2 linked regions of the Stegostoma tigrinum genome follow. The protein of the gene in region 1 binds, or shares a complex with, the protein of each later gene. Links are inferred from orthologs where the notes say so. Each region holds a gene or a part of one and is shown in the gene's direction. Other genes may lie near its edges.

The links. Proteins that work in one complex are often made in the same cells at the same time.
Region 2: the proteins of bcar1 (region 1) and SH2 domain-containing protein 3C-like are in contact, whole or in part, in a crystal structure (PDB 3T6G), measured with the Homo sapiens proteins. The link is inferred for Stegostoma tigrinum from reciprocal best matches to the Homo sapiens genes BCAR1 and SH2D3C. Residues at the interface, in NP_055382.2 of Homo sapiens: Ser739, Gln742, Phe746, Tyr747, Gln750, Asn754, Val779, Ser782, Lys783, Ile786, Leu787, His790, Val793, Phe794, Ile795, Asp797, Thr798, Arg801, Gln802, Ser816, Asn817, Cys820, Leu823, Arg824, Val827, Lys831; in NP_733745.1 of Homo sapiens: Thr543, Val544, Pro545, Val547, Gly616, Val617, Arg618, Glu622, Thr625, Leu626, Pro627, His628, Leu749, Leu752, Leu753, His771, Gly772, Val773, Glu774, Val776, Leu777, Leu780, Glu781, Ala783, Arg784, Ala787, His788.

Annotation. Positions count from the first base shown.
Region 1 is NC_081369.1:19,943,789-19,954,316, forward strand, and holds the start of bcar1 (breast cancer anti-estrogen resistance protein 1), read left to right. Parts: upstream 1-5,856; 5' UTR 5,857-6,025; coding exon 6,026-6,376; intron 6,377-10,528. UniProt on the Homo sapiens protein: Docking protein which plays a central coordinating role for tyrosine kinase-based signaling related to cell adhesion. Implicated in induction of cell migration and cell branching. Involved in the BCAR3-mediated inhibition of TGFB signaling.
Region 2 is NC_081382.1:34,292,709-34,303,480, forward strand, and holds the start of SH2 domain-containing protein 3C-like, read left to right. Parts: upstream 1-6,231; 5' UTR 6,232-6,542; intron 6,543-10,772. UniProt on the Homo sapiens protein: Acts as an adapter protein that mediates cell signaling pathways involved in cellular functions such as cell adhesion and migration, tissue organization, and the regulation of the immune response.

The DNA of each region.
Region 1 (10,528 bases):
CTGATCATATGAAAAACATGCTGGTCCTCAAAGGAACTGCAAACCCAGGCTTAATGCTGGTAAAACATGGTGTTGTGCTGCTACTAGAATTCTGTTGGGAGAGAAATGAAACTGTCCCCTAGGGGTAAATGAGGCACAAATTCATTTTAAAACAGTCCATGACTTAGGCAAGTAAACTTCAAGGCACTCCTTCGGTAATTAAAGCTATTCCTGGCTTCCATGACACATGTAACCTCAACGAAATCCTGGGAGACCTGCTGGAATGTGGAGTTACTGTTGCCAGCTCTATAACCAAGGAAACATATCATTGTCTTCGAGGAGGCACCATGAAGGTTCTCTTGATTGATCCCTCAGATGGCAGCATTAATCAGTTAGGAGAGACAGTGCCGCACAGATGTGACACTGGGTAAATGCCAGCAGGAGGGCCCTCATAAGATCCTCCAAATCTAGAGGCAAGAAAGGTCATCCAACAACAGCATCCTGCTCAAACCAACATGTCTGGCATTGAGGTGCGAATCAATCAGAACCAGCTCCATTGGATGGGACATGTCACTGGTATGTCTGACACCACGCCCCAAAACAACTACGCCATACAGAGCTCAGCCATTGCAGGAGGCTCGCAGGAGGTCAACAGTAATATTTTAGGGCATCGCTGAAGAAGTCAAACATCCTTGCTGATTCATGGGATTCCCCACCTGGTAATTGACCAAAATAGAGGAGATTCAATGCTGGGTAGTAGCAAACAATGAGAAATGTCATCAGTAATGATGCAAAGGTAATACAACAGACTGAAGGGAGCACATAACCCATACTCACCCATCTCATCTCTTGATCCTACCAGCACCTCCTGAAGTTGCAGCTAGCACACTGGGTTCATCAGCTATCCCTGAATCCATTAAAACAGTGTGGAAGCAAGTCATCCTCAATCCCAAGGGTCTGTCTGAGATGGAGAAGCCATAACAATAGATCACACAATTCCTTTTCTCGTGTATTAGCAGAATATTTCTGGAAAATGAATTACATCAGATTTGCAGGCCAAAGATCACTTTTAGATATTCTCGAATCAACCTATTCAGGGATGTTATGACACACCCCTAGAACAGGTGGGACTTGAACCCACGTTGCCTGCCTTAGAGGTAGGAACACTGCCAATGCTTTTGTTACTAATCATTTGTAGCCTAGACCAATAAGTAGGATGTACACCATGTGCTGCTGGTCTTTATAATGTGTCCTCTGTATAGCAATGCAATAAATTAATAAGTAAGAAACTTTCATAATTATCAACTTTAAACCATAGCCTGTATAGTCAAAGGGTAAGTATTTGTCATGAAATGGTTTGTTTAACAATGACAGAACTCTCATCTCAGTCAGTATGTTGTTGTTTTCAGGGCCCACAGGAAAATCTAGGCTGTTGCATTGGCTCTTTTCTGAAGCAGTGCTATTGTGTTAGCGATGCCATTATTTAGATGAGGATGTTAGACCCTAAGATCCCACTTGCCCTCTTAGGTGGATGTAAGATATTCCATGGCACTATTTTGAAGCAAGAGATAACACAGTGTGGAGCTGGAGGAACACAGCAGGCCAGGCAGCATCAGAGGAGCAGGATAGTTGACATTTCGGGTCGAGACCCTTCTTCAGAAAGGGACAAGCCTTTTTTTCTCCATATTTGCAGTAATATGATTGGAATAAAGAAAGTAATCACTAAAGATCATCATTGTTCAACATTAAATGCCCATCAAGTACATGCTTCGCTCTGACACAAATGCCAAGACCCTCATGCAGTTTTTATACCAGCTAACTGCTTTATTACCTTATAATCATTCCTTGTTATGCTAGCTATTAGCTTTTTTTTTAGTTAATGCCTGGAAAATCCAACAGTGTGGGTTCAATCCCTGCACTGACTGAAGTTTTCATGGAGCACTCTTTGTCTCTACCTCTTCTCTTGACTGATCCTGAGGTTAAACCACCGCCAGTTATGTTCGTTTAGCGAGACAGCAGCCCTATGGGCTAGTAAGGCTATGGGAACTTCGTCTTTACTGAAGTATCTGGCATATCTCGTATATTACATTATTATATAAAGCCTTATAAGGACCTATTCAGTGTAATGCAAGCATTCTTCCAATGGACTGTGGATGGGCAATCACAGTTTCACATGGGGCTGCATGATCTTTGCTTATTTATTGGCCATTGTTGAAGTTTGTTTCCAAACTGTTTCAGAACAGTTACAATGTCACAGCGAGGCTTGAGGTGCTTGGCACGGAAAGTCACTGTACACTATGTCATGTCCTAGCTTAATACTTGAATAGAGTTCTGTGAAATCAGGGTGAGGAGAATTAGACTTGGAATGTTTGATACACTTAATAAAGTAATGGAGCAGATTGTGTTTCAAGATTTGAACACACAAGCTTCTAATGATGGACTAAAGACTCTAGAAGTGCTTCAGCACTTTGCAACATGTTTCAATCATTAAAACTTGTGTGCAAGCTTTTCATATGTTCCTCTTGTAATTGTTATGAGTGTCAATGGTTAGATTTTTAACCTTGTTGTTAGTGATTAAGGGATCTATCACAAATGGAGCCACATCATTAACAAATGTCCGCCCTTTAAAGACAATGGAGGCACAGCACAACTAATTTCTTATTTCATGTTTTATGGACAACTGCAATACCTGAGAAACAAATTTCACTGCATGCAGTAAGTGTAAAAATTTGCAAGGTTTGTCACAGGTAGGTACACTACAAAGCCATCATAGAATCCCTACAGTGTGGAAGCAGGCTATTTGGCCCATCGAGTCCACACCAACCCTCCGAAAAGCCCCCCACCCATATCCACTACCCCTACCCAATCCCGATAAACCTGCATTTCCCATGTCTAACCCACTTGGCTTGCACATCACGGGGCAATTTAGCACGGCCAATCCACCTAGCTTGAATATCTTTGGACTATGGGAGGAAACTGGAGCACCTGGAGGAAAACCACACAGACATTGTGAACGTGTAAACTCCACACAGACAGTTGCCCGATGTTGGAATCAATCCTGCGTCCCTTGTGCTGTGAAGCAGCAGTACTAACTACTGAGCTACTGTGCCACCATCATCCCAGCCATGTGACTAAATGAGAGGAGAAAGGCAAAAATATTGAGTTCAGAAGACCACATCACTGGCCAGGAAGTGCCTTAAATACAGGAAACCTTTTGTTGCAGTAAAACCAGAAAATTGCAGTACCATTTCATTCCATATTCTCATTGATTCCAATGATGTGGTTTATTACCTGTGAGTACAGCAGCTAGAATGAATTGATATTTGGGTGCAAATGTAATTATAGGCTATATGATCAAAACACTGTTGTGCAGAATGAGGTCACCTAAGCTCCTCCAAGGTAGAGTCAAATATATTAATTTACAAGTAATATTGATGCCAAGCGATCTCAGAATGAATATTTATCACATAGATGTGCCAGGAAGAGTTAGACCAAGTGTCTTTAATGGTTTGTTTTGATCCTTATCTGTATAAGCTTCTTATCCTTAAGCTTACACGGATCTAATCATTTATTCCCATTTCCCTCTTATCTGTCCCTGTTTCCCATCTCTTTAAGGAACAAAGGAATCATTTGATGGTGAGGACTGCAGTCTATCTATTTTGTCTTCTACCATCTGAGTAGACACAACAATATTTGAGTTATTGAATCTTCATATTTTTGCTCAATCAATCTTTATTGATTAGCCTCTAAAGAAACCTAGACAAGCGGCAAGGAAAATAGATTGGAGGCGTTAGAGAACTGCAGATTCATAGTTGTTTGTTCCTGTCAATGTTATATGGCATTTCCCATATAACATGCAGTTTAATAAAGTGTTGACAACTTTTGTGTATTGGACTAATTAATGTGGTCCTTCTCAAACTTATTTATTTTATTGTTGATTGTGGTTCCATCTGAGAATTGGCTTCAGTATTTCCTGTATTGCAACAATGACTATACTTTCGAAGTACTTTGTGTGTTGTCAAGAGCTTGAAGAGCAGCAAAAGACACTAGCTAGCAAACAGGAAAATAAGTAGAAGAGTCAGAAACCGATAGGGAATTGGGTGAACTGGTGAGAAAACAGGAACTTTAGCAGGCAAGAAGTGGACAGTCAAAAAGACTTGTGGGATGTACCAACAGCGAAGCTGAGCCAAATACAGGAAGTTAAAAATAATTAAGCAAGAAGACATCCAGGAATGAGAAACAGATAGGAGTGAACACACACACACACACACACACACGCACACACAAAGTTATTTGGCCAATCAGGTCTGCACTGGACGTCCAAATGAGCATTTCAGCCCTAGAAAGAATCTGAAGGAGTTCCTCAGAGTGGTGTCCTAGACCCAACCATTTTTAGCTGCTTCATCAATGACCTTGCCCTCCATCATTATGTTAGCAATTGGGTTGTTCACTGGTGATTGCACAATGTTCACGACCATTTGCAACTCCTCAGATATTGAAGCAGCCTGTGTCCATGTATCTCAAGATTTGGACAGCATACTGAATTGGACTAATATATGGCAAGGAAATTTTGTACCAACTAAGTGCAAGGCCATGAGCATTTCCATGAAGAGAGAATCTTGCTCCTTGATATTCAGTGGTATTATCATTGTTGAATCAACATCCTTGGGGTTATCATTGACCAGAAATTGATCTGCACTGCCAGATTAAATACTGTGACTACAGGAGCAGTTTAGATACTATATTTTCTTCAGTAAGTTACTCACCATCAATGCACGATTCACAAGACTCATATCAAGAGCGTGCTTCACACCATCCAGGCCAAAGCAGTCTGCTTCATTGACACCCCATTCACCAGTTTACAACATTCACTCCCTTCGCCTTCGCTGCACAACGATAACAGTGTGTACCATTCAGCAGTAACTCACCAAGGCTCCTCCTACAGAATCTTTCCTCCACCACCGAATGTACACAGGACAGCAAATACGTGTTTACTAATACGTGCAAGTTTCTGTTTAAGTCACGTGCTATCAAAATTTCTGAATTCGGTTAATGAACAAAAAGTAATATCTGTAAAACAGCAATTAATCAACCTGGAATAACACTTTCTATTTTCTGTCTTTATTTCCATCCCATTACCTACTGAAATTCATAGGCGTTTATAACTTTGAGGTAAATATCTTTAAAAAATGCATAAATCATTGGCTATGAACCTTTGGTGGTCGTGCAGAGAGTGGGAGAAAGTAAAACGAGGATAGAACCACACTCAGTTTCAATGACAAACTGAAATTGAGAGAATCAGCTCTATAGCAGACAAGGCAATGAAATGTTTGAGCCCGGAAACTGTGTCGAATTCCAGGACACTGCTAATCCCATGTTATTAATAGAACGTAAAGATGCAGCACTTGGTTATGAGTTTCTTTCAAGATAACCTCAAAAACCATGGCGCTCCTGTGAACACGGTGGTTCAGGCTGCACAGGGACGCTGTGTAGCTCCGCACTGCTCTGTCCTGCGCTGCTTCATGTCAAAGAGTAGTGAAGGAGATTAAGCTCCGGCAATAACCCCCTGTGTAGACAGGCTCAGCGACTCTCTATTGCCGACGTGTAACTGTTTGCACTGAGCTCATGGGGAGGTGCACTCCAGTGAACGGAGGCTCTCTGTTTTGTGTGCGGGCTTTTGCAAACAGCTGATCGAACCAAACTGACAGAGCCCCAGCTGCTGTCACTGTTCCTTTTAGCAGAAAAGTGCGAGGCAGGCCATTCCTGGAGAAAGTAGGGGTATGGTCCCTTTAATGGAAACTCTTTACCCACTGGATTGAGTCGGTTTCCCAGCGCCTGCGCTCTGCACGGTTGGCGGTGCCTTTAAGGTGAAATTGCCGATTTCGTCATTGCAGGCGATTGAGGGGAGGAAGAGAAAGAGGAGGAGAGAGAGAAAGAAAGAAAAGAAGAGAAGAAAAGAAGAAGAAGAAGAAGAAGAAGAAGTAGTAGTGGGGTGGTGGGTCTGGGCGTTAGAACAAGGATTCAGTACGAGACAGTGTGCAAGTTAATGTGTAGGAGCCCAGGGCTGGGGAAGAGCCAGAGAGAGACACACACACAGACTGACAGGAGGCTGGGTTGGGGGGTGGGAAAGCGAGTGGAAATTCACCAGGAGCGCAGTTCCCTGCCAGAGGCTGTCACTGAACTGAAGATTACAGAGCTGCAAGCAAACGGAACCTGCGACTTCAGGGTGCTGACAGTCCTGGGTGGCAGAGGGAGACGATGGGATCCACCTGATCGCCTTCCCGAAAAATCAGGCAGTTATTCCCAGCCGCCTTCCCAACGCTGGGAGGAAACTGATCAGCACGACATCCCTTTCAGATCGCCCGGTGCGGAGGAAGAGCCGGAGATGTCTGTGCCTGTGAGTATCTCTTCACGTTCACAAAGTCCCCTTCCCGTGCCTGCAGTGAAGTGCAGCCTCGCTGGCCAGTGGCTCCCCCCGAATCGGCTGCCGCTGTTTGCAAAGCTCGGGTGGGTGATGGTGCCGCGATGTTAGTTGGAGCTGGTTCTGTTTGAATGGGGAGTGTGGAGGCCGGGGCCCCAGGCTGCTAGCTGGAACTCTGTGCACGACCGTTCCCTCTCCTGCGAGACCGGTCCCAAGCCCCGGACCAGTACTTACGAGGCTCCTTTTTATGATAGAGGAGAGTGGGCATTTATTTTCGTGTGCACTTTATCCTGCAGAGTATTTGCAACTGTAAGAGAATCCAGATTCAGATTCGTCTGTGTGGTAAATACTGTCTTTCAGGTTGTTAAATGCAGCGTTTACTGGCAAACCGGGTTTTTTTCTGAATTGGAGGAATTGGTTAAATCTTGTTCGTTTGTTCGCAAATGCACTACGCAAGAATTACAAATTGTTTATTGATGCTCCGAGTGTGGGTGTGAAACTTCATAGCTGAGTATTACCACCTGATCCTACTCTTTGACTATCAACGCCACCCTCCGACCCCCAAAAGTAGGAGAACAAATTTCACCAGAAACTTTTCACTCGAACATAGTTCATCATTTCTATGTTGATATGTTCCCAGTATCCATCTGCCCCTCTCTGTCTTCGGGCTGTTTTCTTCGAACACAATAACAGAGCGAGAGAAAATAAGCAAATCTGGGAACATGGAATAAGCCTTACAGAGATTCAATTCCGTCAAGGCTGTGTACACATCGGCCGCATTCACTGGCCTGAAGGTCAGCTACTGGAACCCTGGTTATGAACAATGTATTTTGGGGTCTTGTTGCCGTTGAGAAGGTGGTGATAAGTTGCCTTTTGAGAATTACTGTAGTCCTGCGGTAAAATGGACTCGTGATACTGTTAGCTGGAGAATTTCAGCTTGTTTTATTGGGCAAAGAAGAAGAAACAGGGAGTTACTTCTGAGATCTGGATAGTAAGTGACTTGAAGGGGCACTTTCAGGTTGTACTGTTCCATGTGCCTGCTGCCCCTGTCAGTCTCTGCTAGCAGACGGTTACCTATAGTTCAACAGCTTAAAATATAGCTGCACAAGTCAAAAGAAACTCGTCTTGGCATGGTACAAAATTACTTTCCTGTTGCTTAATAGACTAAAACCTGGGTACAAAGCTTGTAATGTGCGTGTGACAACAGAAATGCAGCATATGATATGAGCCCAAATTATAATTACTGTAATAAAAGTTCAAAATGACCATTTGGATGGTTTCACTTTACTGTTTTCAGGCTGTGTTGGTACAAGGGCCAAATCAGACATTTTTACTAATGTCTTAGCTGAACTGACTTTAATGTGGAACAGCATGATCGGCGTGCACTGCCAATATGTATCAAATAACAGGGTTATCGCAGTACCTAGGTGGGGTGCTTAGAGTAATTATATAGTAGCAAAGGAACAGGATCTGATTCCTTCTATTTCACTTGTTGGTTTTTAGATCAGTGCACCTCACTGGAACTGAAATCAAATGAAATGCAATAAACGGAGAGCTGATTTAAGTTAAAACGTTTTTTTTTGCTGACCGTGTTTGTTGTCTGTGAGTAATGACTCAGCATCTGTGCTGTGAAAACTATACCGTTTGCTTGAGTGAATATAAATGCAGTGCTGGCAAATTGTACCAAATGTGAGTAGCTTCACCGACTCTGAGAGGATAGATCGGTGACAGGGACCACCATTGGAACTCTGTAGAATTTTGCCAAGTCTCTCTTTTTATGAAAAAATAAACAAAGATCATCAACAGAAACAAATACTTTTGGGGGAAATTGAATAAAACACAGTTGTAAATAATCATGTAAGGCTTTAGTTTGTACAAGAACAGCAGTTTGAATGGGAATTATTCGGTTCAGATAGTCTGTCTGTCTGTTCCAGTATTAGATAAACTGCTTCATAAACTTTATTTACTGGGAAGGTTGTGTGTATTGGTAATGTTACTGAACTGCACGTTGAAGTTCAGAGGGCATGGATTTGAATGCCACCATGGCAGATAGTAAAATTCGAATTCAATTTTTAAAAAAAATCCTGAAATTGAAAAGCTAGCCTAATGATGACCATGAAGCCAATGTTGCAAAAACCCATCTAGTTTACTCATGTCCTTTGGAGAAGGGAATTTATTGCCCCCTACCTGGTCTGGACTAGATGTGACTGCAGAGCCACAGCAGTATGTTAGTCTTAGCTGTCCTCTGAAATGGCCCTAGCAAGGCTGTTAGGGATTGGAAATAAATGCTAGACCAGCCTGAGATGACCGTAAGACGTAGGAGTGGAAGTAAGGCCATTCAGCCCATCAAGTCCACTCCACCATTTAAATCATGACTGATGGGCATTTCAACTCAACTTCCCTGCACTTTCCCCGTAGCCTTTGATTCCTTCTGAGATCAAGAATCTGTCGATCTCTGCCTTGAAGGCTTCTAACGTCCCAGCCTCCACTGCACTCCGTGGCAATGAATTCCACAAGCCCACCACTCTCTGACTGAAGAAATGTCATCAAATTTCAGTTTTAAATTTACCCCCTCTAATTTTAAGGCTGTGCCCACGGGTCCTAGCCTCCCCGCCTAATGGAAACAACTTCCTGGTGTCCACCCCTTCTAAACCATACATTATCTTGTAAGTTTCTATCAGATCTCCCCTCAACCTTCTAAACTCTGAGTACAATCCCAGGATCCTTAGCCGTTCATCATATGTTAAACCTACCATTCCAGGGATCATTCATGTGAATCTCTGCTGGACATGCTCCAGGGCTAATATGTCCTTCCTGAGGTGTGGGGCCCAAAATTAGACTCAGCATTCTAAATGGGGCCGAACTAGAGCTTTATAAAGCCTCAGAAGCACATCATTGCTTTTATATTCCAACCCTCTTGAGATAAACGACAACATTACATTCACTTTCTTAATTATGGACTCTACCTGCAAGTTAACCTTTAGAAAATCCTGGACCAACGCTCCCAGAGCCCTTTGTACTTCTGCTTTACGAATTTTCTCACCATTTAGAAAATAGTCCATGCCTGTATTCTTTTTTCCAAAGTGCAAAACCTCACATCTCCTCACATTGAATTTCATCAGCCATTTCCTGGACTACTCTCCTAAACTGTCTAAATCTTTCTGCAGCTTCCCCACCTCCTCAGTACTACCTGCCTGTCCACCTATCTTTGTATCATCGGCAAACATCGCCAGAATGCCCCCAGTCCCTTCATCCAGATCATTAATATATAAGGTGAACAGCTGCGGCCCCAACACTGAACCCTGTGGGACAGCACTCATCACCAGTTGTCATTCCAAAAAAGAGCCTTTTATCCCAACTCTCTGCCTTCTGTCAGACAGCCAATCCTCAATCCAAGCCAGTAGCTCACTTCGAACACCATGGCCCCTCACCTTGCTCAGCAGCCTCCCGTGAGGCACCGTATCAAAGGCCTTTCGGAAGTCGAGATAGATAATATCTACTGGGTTTCCCTGGTCTAACATACTTGTTACTTCTTCAAAGAATTCTAACAGGTTTGTCAGGCACGACCTCCTCTTACTAAATCTATGCTGACTTGTTCTAATTTGACCGTGCACTTCCAAGAATTTAGAAATCGCATCCTTGACAATGGATTCTAGAATTTTACCAACTACTGAGGTTAGGCTAATCGGCCTATAATTTTCCATCTTTTGCCTTGATCCTTTCTTAAGCAAGGGGGTTACAGCAGCAATTTTCCAATCATCTGGGACTTTCCCTGACTCCAGTGACTTTTGAAAGATCACGACCAAAGTCTCTGCTATTTCCTCAGCCACCTCCCTCAGAACTCTAGGATGTAGCCCATTGGGGCCAGGAGATTTATCAATTTTTAGACCTTTTAGCTTTTCTGGCACTTTCTCTTTTGTAATGCCTACCATACTCAACTCTGTCCCCGGCTCTCCCTAATTTTTGGCGTACTACTCATGTCTTCCACTGTGAAGACTGACGCAAAGTACTTATTAAGCTCTTCAGCTATTTCCTTATCTCCCATCACTAGCCTTCCAGCATCAATTTGGAGCGGCCCGATTATCTACTTTTGCCTCTCGTTTGTTTCTTTTGTCCACATCCCATGAA
Region 2 (10,772 bases), on another chromosome or scaffold:
GTCAGTGATCTTGGGTGAAGCTGTAACTGCTTAAAAGTTCAACCCATGTTCACTCTGTCACATTACATACTTCTGATTTCATGTCCTTTCCATTATTGTTCTGACATTTCACTATCTCCTCCAAGAACATCTTCTGATGGGGACAGTAAGGACTGTAGATATTGGAAGCTAGAGTCAATAAATGTGGAGCTGGAAAAGCACAGCAGGTCAGACAGCTTCCGAGAGGCAGGAAAGTCGACGATTTGGGCCAAAGCCCTTCGTCAGGGCCATCATCCCTGCAAATGTGGCACTGACAACTGACACTGAGCACAGGGAAGTCCTGAACTGTGTGTCAGCGATTTATATCAATCTGTGGAGAGGGTGAAAGCATTTTGAGGGGTAAAACTCAGCAACAACAGCCACAGGTGCCAACCAATATCCTTTGTCTTGCATCTTTCCAACTCCACCTGCTTAAAACTCAGAGCAGCCATTTAAGTTTTTCTGTTTTCTGCCTGCTTAGAATTTCCAGTCCAAACTAATATTTTTCTCCCAATCCCTTGCTGTCTCAAAGTGCTATGCATTGTTCCAGCTTTACAGGAAAATGGTCATCCAAGTGACCCAAGGTTGCAATGCCAGAACAGGAGGGAGAGGAGGAATAATGTTAAAACTTTGAAAACACACCCACACTGGTCACCTTGCTTCCCTTTGACCCTCATCATCTTTAAGCTGTGGTTCAGTTGGTAACAACTGGCTACTGAGTCTAAAGGCTGTGGGCTTGAGTCTCAGCTGAGAGTGTCAGCACAAAAATAATCAAAGCAGATGTTTTTGTACAGTACTAAGGGAGTGCCATTGTGTGGGCGAGATATTGAAGCTCCTCATCTGTCTACTCGAGCTTGCTGATTGCAAGCTGGTTGTCACATTTCTTACAATACAGCAGTGACTATATGTTACCAGTATTTAATTTGCTGTGCAAAGTGTGACATAAAGGCCAGGCTTTCTTATTTTACACTGCCCTTCCTTCGCCACCACCCACATTTTTCCAAGGCCTTTCCAATCTCAATTCTCTGTCTGCCTCAGCTCAGATGCCAGTTTCACAGGCACTAGCAGTCTTCAACAAAATTCTTCAAGTGTAAGCCAAGGCTGTGACAGTCAACAGGCAATTCAGCTGTGAGTGGCAGCACTGGAATGTGTCAGACTGGAAAGATCTGGCCAATCCCAGCCTTTGCTGAGTGAAAACCATCAGCAAAGTTCTCAGCACGGTCAGAATGCACCCATCAGATTGAACTCGCCTGAGGGGAGAGGGAAACCGTCTGCTTTCCATCCAATAGCTTTCTTAATTGGCTTGGAGGCAGTTTCTCTATCAGATTTAGAGGAGTGTGCTCTCAAAGTGTGACAGCCAGAGATCTGCCAACTTCAAAGGAGGGAACAACTGCAGGAATGCATTAGTAACCAAGAGAAAACATCAGCGAAAAGCACCTCTCTTAACCCTTTTAAAAATATAATTAAAAGGTAGAGCAAGCGGCCAAGCCAGCATCTATAGAGCAGCCTATAGTTGTAGTCCTGCCCAGGTAAGAAGGGAGTATTGGTATCTGGGCCTGCGTTGGAGGCCTACTCACAGGAGATCCACTCCTCTCCATCACATGGACAACAGTAAAATCATATTCAGTCTTCCTGACTTATCTTCAGCTTTTAAATCCGATCTGCGCCATACCTGGCACATAAGAAGATGGTTGTGATTGTTGGAAGTCGGTCATCTTAACTCCAGGACATCTCTGCAGGAGTTCCTTAGGTCAGTGTCTTAGACCCAACCATCTTCAGCTGCTTCATCAATGACCTTACCTCCATCATAAGGTCAGAAGTGGGAATGTTTGCCAATAATTGCACAATGTTCAGCACCTCTCATGACTGCTCAGATACTGAAACAGTCCATGCCCGAATGCAGCAGGACCTAGATAATATCCAGGTTTGGGCCGACAATTGGTAGGTGACATTCACGCCCCATAAGTGTCAGGCAATGACCATCTCCAACAAGAGACAATTAACCATTGCTCCTTAGATAACACAGTGTGGAGCTGGAGGAACACACAGCAGGCCAGGCAGCATCAGAGGAGCAGGAAATTTGACATTTTGGGTCAGGACAGTTTTTTCAGAAATGGAGAAGGGGAAGGGCGCTCAGAAATAAAGAGAGAGGAGGCGTGGGGCTGTGGAAGGTAGGTGGAATGGTGATAGGTGAATGCAAGTAGGGAATGGTGGGGATTTGTCAGTGAGATGGGAGGAGTGGTTAGGTGGGACAGAAGATGGACAGGTCCCGATCCGAAACATATATTTTTCTGCTCCTCTGATGCCGCCTGGCCTGCCGTGTTCCTCCAGCTCCACACTGTGTTATCTTTGACTCTAGCAGCTGCAATCTTGCTAACTCTAACCATTGCTCCTTGTTGTTCATGGCATTATCACCACTGAATGCTCCACTATCAACATCCTGAGCATTACCATTGACCAAAAACTAAACTGCAAGTAGGCTAGCCATCTAAATACAGTGGCTACAAGAACAGGTCAGAAAGTAGGAGTAACTCATCTCCTGACCTCCCAATGCCAATCCACCATCCACAAGGCACCAGTCATGAGTACAGTGGAATACTCTCAATTTGCTGGGATGAGTACAGCTCCAACAAATTACAAGAACCATGACATTCAGGACAAAGCATCAGCCCACTTGATTGGCCACAAAGATTCACACCCTCCACCCTCAATGCTCAGTAGCAGAAGTGTTTATTGTCCACAAGGCTCACTCCAGAAATTCACCAAGGCTCCTGAGTTAGCATCTTCCTGACCCAGGACCACTACCTCCTCAAATGATTTGGGCAGAAGATACAGTGGAACATTGCAACTTCCCCTGGAAGCCACTCACCATCCTGGCTTGGAAACAAATTCCCATTCCTTCAGTGTTGCTGGGCCAAAATCCTGGAATTCCTTCCCTAAGGGCATTGTGGGTCAACACCCAGCACATGGACTGTAGCTGTTTAAGAAGGCAGCTCATCATCATCTTCTCAAATGCTGGACAGCCAGTGACAACCATCCCATGAGAAAAATTTTTTAAAATGAGCCTAAATGACAGCCTGTGGCATGAGATAGAAAAGCTCTTGCAGCTCTGAATCTGCTCCAGCCAAAATAAACTGACACTGGGAACAGGAAACCAGTACTCCAGCTAGTTCTGGTATTCTTGGGTTCCATCCACCTCCATTTCCAAAACTATCAAAGCCCCAAAACCCTGTGCTGTCTTTGTATGTTGAAGAAGGGCACAGTAAAGTTTGGCTGAGGTGCCCAGGCTGAATATCTTGCTTGTGTTCGTTTTCCAAATCACGGATAAGCAGAGTCCAGTTGCATGAATAATACAAGCGGGAACTAGTATCTGCACAATTGTAGCCCTGCAGAGAAAGAAGGGATAGATTTTACATTAAAGGATGGAATTGAAAATAAACATAAAATCAGGAACTTAAAATTTCAACCAGTAATCACCTGAGACTCTTCGGTGCAATTAATGGGTAGCAGCAGGGTTTAATTATCAATGTGGACCCCTAGGTAAATGCAAATTGCCACATTTTATTCAGCAAGCTGTCATATAAATCAGCATTTGCAGAGCATGGAGACTGAAATGTTCAGTTGGATATTTCCTTCACAGATGTGCAATGTTGAGGTTACACTTACTTGGAGCTAATCATCTCGAGAAAGAATATCAATTAATAAAGAGAAGAAATATTCTGATTTGAATTGCTCGGCTCAGCTCATGAAGTAGTGCTTTAGATACAGGGTAATTATTTACCTGATCGGTCAGGGGGTTTTATTGAGTGAACGATTGAACTGTTTGAAAGAAAGGACAGTTCCAAGTTTGATTTGCTGTTTGTGCTGAATTAATTGATCAGTCAAGATGTTAGAAAAACTCTCAGTGCCCCTGATGGAGCAGGCATGAAATCAGTCAGCTGTTTCTTCTTTGGATCACAATCCATGATCACTATTTGAGGTAGTGCATATGTGAGTGTCAGGCAATTGAAGGATTAGATTCTCTGGATTTTGGGAATGCTGCTGATGCTCACTGTTAGTAGTACACATGCACGTTAGTCACATGGATACAGAACCAAAGGTTCACCGATAGCAACAGAACAGTTGCCATGACCTTGACATTCCTTGTATCAACCTTTTGTGACTTTAGTGTGGGGTCAGTAGGTGGACAACTCTAGGGTAAACAGACCACTACGGGTCTATCTTTGATGCCCACACATCAATGGAAACTTACCTATTTGCCACTTGGGATTGGGTGCTCAGGAACCTCTCACTGTACCCATTGTCCTTTGCTACCTGAGAAAGGAAGCTAATCCAGGTAACAAACAAAACTTCATTATTAATTATTAGCAGCCTGACTCAGCCATGGATCTCAGTGGCAAGGCTGACATAACTCCTTATGGTCACCGTGTGTCCATTGACTTAATGACACTGCTGTATCATTTCTTCAGCCCACATCTAGCTTCATAGCTAAGAACCACAAAGTTAAGAAATCCACATATTGGCCACTATTTGTCTTGACAGCCAGAGGCTGTGCCCCTTAGACGCTTACATGGGTGCTCTTAGAAACAACAGAGGCCTATCACAACCAGATTGCCCCCACTCTCATGGAGTTTCTGTGGGTGGCTCGTAGGGGTTATGGCAGGACATCGGTAAAGCCCTCAAAGAACGTCAGACCTCTTGTCATTAACTGGGTGGCTAAGAGATAACATCAGCAAAGAAAAATCCAGATTTTTTTGGAACAACAATATCTAGATTGTGGGAACTACTTGTATCCTAATGTGCAGTGTGGTGTGCACTTTGTACTAGCTGCAACTGGAAGCAGTGAGTGAGTCAGCAATAAAATGTGTGACTAAACACTAATTCTTGAGGGATTTCACCCAAGTATAAAGAATGTGAAATCGTGGAAGGAAAAATGCCTTGAAATAAATATTTAAATTAAATTAAGTTGCACTGTTCCAACAATGAGTCTTTGGGCTACAAGCAGTAATCTATGGGCCAAATGGTTTCTTTCCTGACTGTAGCGATTGTATGATTCTAACCTTCATTCTGTCTCCACAGATACTGCCAGACCTTGCTCCATTCCATTTTAATTTTTATCAACATCATTTTCATAATTAGCAACAAATCTTGCTACAAGGTCTATCCAAGGACAGTAGCAGGCTGAGCTGTGTCAGTCTTCATGGCCAAATAACCCACTGTCCAAACTCAATCACAAAGAATAGCTGCCTGCATGATTTATTGAAAAGCATTCTGTGTCCATGTAACCGTGCTGTAGCAGGAATCATCATCATCAGGAGGACTGTTGGAGGACAAAAGATAAATGATAAAGAAACTTAAGGCAGTCCAATTCAAGATTCCTGGGACAACATGTTGAAAGATAATTAGAAATTTGCTTATTCAAAATGTGACTTTCACATTTCTGGCATTGCTTGAGCTTGTTTGTAGAAGCTTTCAGCTCTGGATATTTAGGTCACGTAGTCATAGCAACCTGGGGAGCCCAGGCCTACTAAACCAGGTTACTAAAAAAGAACAGATGTTAGAAACCCTTTCTAACCTTCAAGAAAATCGTGATTGTGAAAAAAAACGAGCTACAAAAATATTCGCTTATCTGAGTTTTCACTGACAAAGTAATATTCCCTTCACCAATGACCCTGCATTTCTCACATTTTTGTTTTGTTTTGTCAGAGTTCCAGAGTTTGCAGTTTTAATTTATTTGCGTTTGGGTTTGCAGTAGACAACAGTCAATCACTATTGTCAGTTCTCCACCAGTACTCTGTACGTGACAGCCTGCAGCTTATTACCTTCTGAATCAGAGATAAAGTGAAAAACACAAATGCAAAGAAAACTGACATAAACATGGAAAACACAGGAAAAAAAGCAGAGCAGATAGTTCAGTGCTTCAAACAGAAAAAGCAGATTAACATTTGAAGTGTGATCCCTCATCGTGGTCCTGAGCTTTTAACTTGCTCAAAGTCTTCTTTTCCAAGCAAAGTCTTTTCTAGGAATAAAGAGGTCAATTCAGCACCAAAATGAGTAACCACTAAATCCCTCCCCCTCCATCCATCCCCCTTCCAGACACAGATACACATACAGTGCATAATTACTATACATATCTGATTGGCTGCAAGGTCAGTTGCTTTAAAAATGTTGGTCCCTCCTTTATCTCCAACAAGCTTCCACTGTGTGTGTGCCGTATTACGCTTAGTCTAGGCTTGCTCCCTCTGACTGCACCATTCTATCCGGCTCCCCTCAGCATTCTTCTCATCTCTTGACCTTCGCCCCTTACGATGCCCAGAGTTCCCTCAGAGAAGCAACTGAAGCTCAGCTTGTTCAGAACTGATACAAAGCTCCTACTGTCCATATTTGTCTGAGATACTCCAGCCACTGACTGTCACATCCGTTTTCAGAGTTTCCAAAAGGGGAGACGAGACTGCGAGGTTTATTTCAGTAACAACACCGAAGAGGTCTGCTCCATACCTGGGACACAGGCTCACAACCAACAGGTATTTTTAAACTGACAACAAACTCTCTAGATTTTAAATATTCCTCCTTAATGAAAATGTGCAAGAACGTCCTTTTCTAAGTGTATTTGAACAATATTATCTACCAATGCAATTCGTACTCCTGTAAAGAGTGGATTTGTAGACAATCTAACCTTATCAAATCAGTACAGAGGACTTACTCTTAAAAATAATCTGAAAAATACAACGTTAATTAAGAAGTCACGTATGTTTCCTAACTTAATTAATTTTAATAATTTTTTGTTTTGTTAATTTTCTTCTTTCATTCTCAATGTGGCTGACTCTACCTTGTGTACAGTGACGTGTAAACCAAAGAACAGCCACCTTGGTGAGAGGCCAACAAGCTTCTGATGCCCACATTATCATACTGTACATTGGCAATAGTCATTACCCTTAGTAAAAGAGAAGGGAGAGGGTGCAGAAACGCTGGGAGGAACCGGAATGAAAATGCTAACCAGTTTTCGTCTTTGTCACTTTCATCTCATGGACACACTGCAGCTGCAGATGTCCCTTGGGCTAGTTACAGTTTAATTCTCAGGATATTTTGAATATACACAAATACGATTTGTAGGAAGATAGAGTTGACTGGAGCTTAGTGTTTTAAGATTTGGCTTAATGCTCAGTGTTATATTTGATCTATTATTTAGTAAATAGTGGACAGTTGGTTAGTTTAAATGCCCTGTAGATGTACTTTAGACTTCATTGTAAGCAGTTCAGTGGTTCATGCATTTTTGTCATTTAATTGAAAAGCACTATGCCAGAATCAAGACCTAGCATTATTAAAGGAACTCTCATACCACTGGGCTGTATTCATATATGAATATTTAGGAGAAGGTGATTGCTGTAAATCCTACAAGCTTCTTTTAAAAGATCTCAATACCACTAATCATTTTTAGAAACATATTCAGTTTCCTTAAGCCTTCTTTGCTAACTCATTCCACAAGTCTATTAGTCTTTTGAAGTATGAAAAAAAGTTTACGCTTTCTGCTCTTAAGTTTCACATGTTTTAATTCAGTGCTTTGAGTATAGGAGTTGGGACATCATGTTGCAGCTGTACTGGATATTGATGAGGCAACTTTTGGAATACTGTGTTCAATTCTGGTCCCCCGGCTGTATGAAAGATGTTGTTAAACTTGAAAGAGTACAGTAAAGATTTACAAACATGTTGCTGGGATTGGATGGTTTGAATTATGGGGAGAGGCTGAATAGGCTGGAGCTTTTCTCTCTGGAGTGTCAGAGGCTGACGGGTGACCTTGTAGAGGTTTATAAAATCGTGAGGGGCATGGATAGGGTGAATAGCCAAGCTCTTTTTCTGAAGCTAGGGGAGACTAGAAGGCATAGGTTTAAGGTGAGAAGGGAAAGATTTAAAAGGGTGTTGAGGGGCAACTGTTTTCCTACAGAGGGTGTTTCATGTATGGAACAAACTGTCAGAGGAAGTAGTGGAGTGGGTGCAATTATAACATATAGAAGGGATCTGGATAGGTACCTGAAATAGGAAGGGTTTAGAGGCATATGGGCCAAACGCTGCCAAATGGGACTAGATCAGTTTAGGGTACCTGGTCCAGTGAAGACAAGTTGGACCGATGAAGGGTCTAGGCCCGAAACGTCAGCTTTTGTGCTCCTGAGATGCTGCTTGGCCTGCTGTGTTCATCCAGCCTCACATTTTATTATCTTGGAATTCTCCAGCATCTGCAGTTCCCATTATCTCTTGGACCGATGGGTCTGCTTCGTGTTGTACATCGCCATGACTCTATAACTTTTCAGTATTTCTGATCTTGAAAGTTTCAATTTGCATTCTTAACATCTTCACTACCTTATAACTTAAAAATTTTTCATGTGGATTCATTTCCTTTGCTCATCTCTGCACCCTTTAAGTAAACAATATCCTTCCTATTATAAAATTCCCAGAATTACTTACAATACTGAAGGTATGTTAGTTATCAAGAGATTTTCCGATTACAGTTGAAACATTTTGCACACCGCATGAAATTAGTCCATTGCATTATCATTTAAATTAGTTTCCAGACAAGGGTCAAAGTGATTTGATTTGAGTTATGAGAATTCCGTGGGACTGTCAGGATCTTGAAACTCTAACTTTAGAAGTGCTGATTCTCTAAATAGTTTAGAAAAGGTGTTAGGCAAGTGCTTGGGGATGAGGAACTTTCAGAGCTTTGGACAAAATGCAAGGCACTGGGGGACCAAGAACAACTGCTTTTTAAAAGGGACAATATGGATACAAAAAGTAGAAATAGCTCCTTCTGTGCAGTACGTTTCAATGGTTCCATTAAATCTTTCTTTGTGAAGCTGCGAACAGGTCATGATGTAAGAAAACCCTGTTGAATAGACTATGCTATTGATATCGCAAACAGAGTTCTCATGTCTCTCTACGGTATGGGAGAAAACTGAGACTGAAGATGTGCCTGGATCACTCTTCTCTGAGGCTTGCGTTCCAAGCATCGCTGGTGGCAGCCTTTGAACAGGACAGCCACCCACTTCCTCATAGCTCTGCTGTTGCCTGTAGAAAACTAATTATGGTTTAAGAAGTACAGTTAGCTCCTAAGTACTTGCATTTCCCCCGCCTCATGCTTTTATCTAATGCACTGTTTAAAGTAAACAGGTCTGTGTTAAACAATCTAAGTTAAAAAAAGGTGTGGGAAAAGATTTTCCACATTCACTGACCTGTTACCTCAAGAAATGATGCAGGGAAGCAACATATGAATGTACTTGCAAAACATAAGTTATTTTAATAATTTAAATTCTTGGCAATGTCCTATTCAATATTTATTTCTCAACCAAAGTCACAAAAATGTATTACCAATGATTCTTACATTGCTGCACAAAATTCACTGCTGCAGAAAAATGACCACAAAGAGCCCCCAACGACTTGACGTTGTGAAGTCTCTTTCCAGTCATTGTTAAGGAGTGCTCATTATGCCACGTAGAGGGGCAGTTGTCCACAACTGAAGGGTCCCATACTGCCTCTGTTCTAAATGCATCAATACACTGAGTTGCTAAATTACATTTATATTTTGAATGCTACAGTTGGACTTAATGACAACAAAAAGGTCTGCAGAGATGTTATCAAATTGCTGATTATGGAATCTTTGTTGCTCTAAATTGGTTGCCATGTTCCTTACATTGCAACAGTGATCACATTTCAAAAGCACTTAATAATCTGTAAAACTGCTTTGGGACACCCTGGGGTTCTGAAAGGTGCTCTGAAAATCTTTTCTTTAAAATCCCATGTGCACGTCTCCCTATTGTTGAATGCAACATTTTTTTTAATGAATGTATATTTTTGATATATAGCTCTATAACATTTTAACTGGAATCTTGTACTGATTCCTGCCCATTACTATCACAGCTTGTGACAGCACTGGCTTTCTGGGTGGCTTCTTTTGTATATTTAAGTCAGGGCTTGTTGGTACTGTGTGGAGAGAAAACTCAGTGGGAACCTGCCCTCCTGGGATCAGAACTGAGTTTATAGGCCTGTATAATTTGACCTTTATATCCCAAAGGTCTTCAGCTAGTTTATGAGGGTTGCCATGTCATTACTAGTCTGCAATGTCCATTTGTAGTCTCGGTAATTAATTCTGAGAATGTGGATAGTAGTTAAACAATATGACTGAGAGCTTACATTTTCTTCCCCTGCAAGGAAGCTTAAACAGACAGAAAGCTTCCCTACACAGTGACTGTCCATCTCGTGGACTGTCAGACACATGCATCACAGCTTTCAGTGTTTTTACAGATCCCTTATTCATCTATGGTGACTAAACATCTGGCTTTGTAGTGGACACTCGGGTTTTGTTGTGGACCGCCTAGTTTTGTAGTCGTCAGTCTGGTTTTGTAGCAGACAGTCCAGTTTTGGAGTGTACAGTCCAGTTTTGGAGTGGACAGTCCATTTATAATGGACCATCTGGTTTTGTAGTGGACAGTTCAGTTTAGTAGCAGACAGTCTGGTTTTGTAAGGGACCATCCAGTTTTCAGCTGCTCTGGTCATTATCTGGAACCAGAAGGTTTCACAACTACTATTTTGACGCTTAGTCCTCTCAGTAAAGCAATGGCTGTGCTTTATGCTCGATGCCGTCCCTGTCTACAGCAGCTTCGATGCAACTTGGAAGCAAGAGTAAGGTTTTTATAACAGATTTTTGGACTACTTTTACAACCTCCTTCCCACCTCCCTAATGACTATCCAATGGAAAAGAGTCTCCG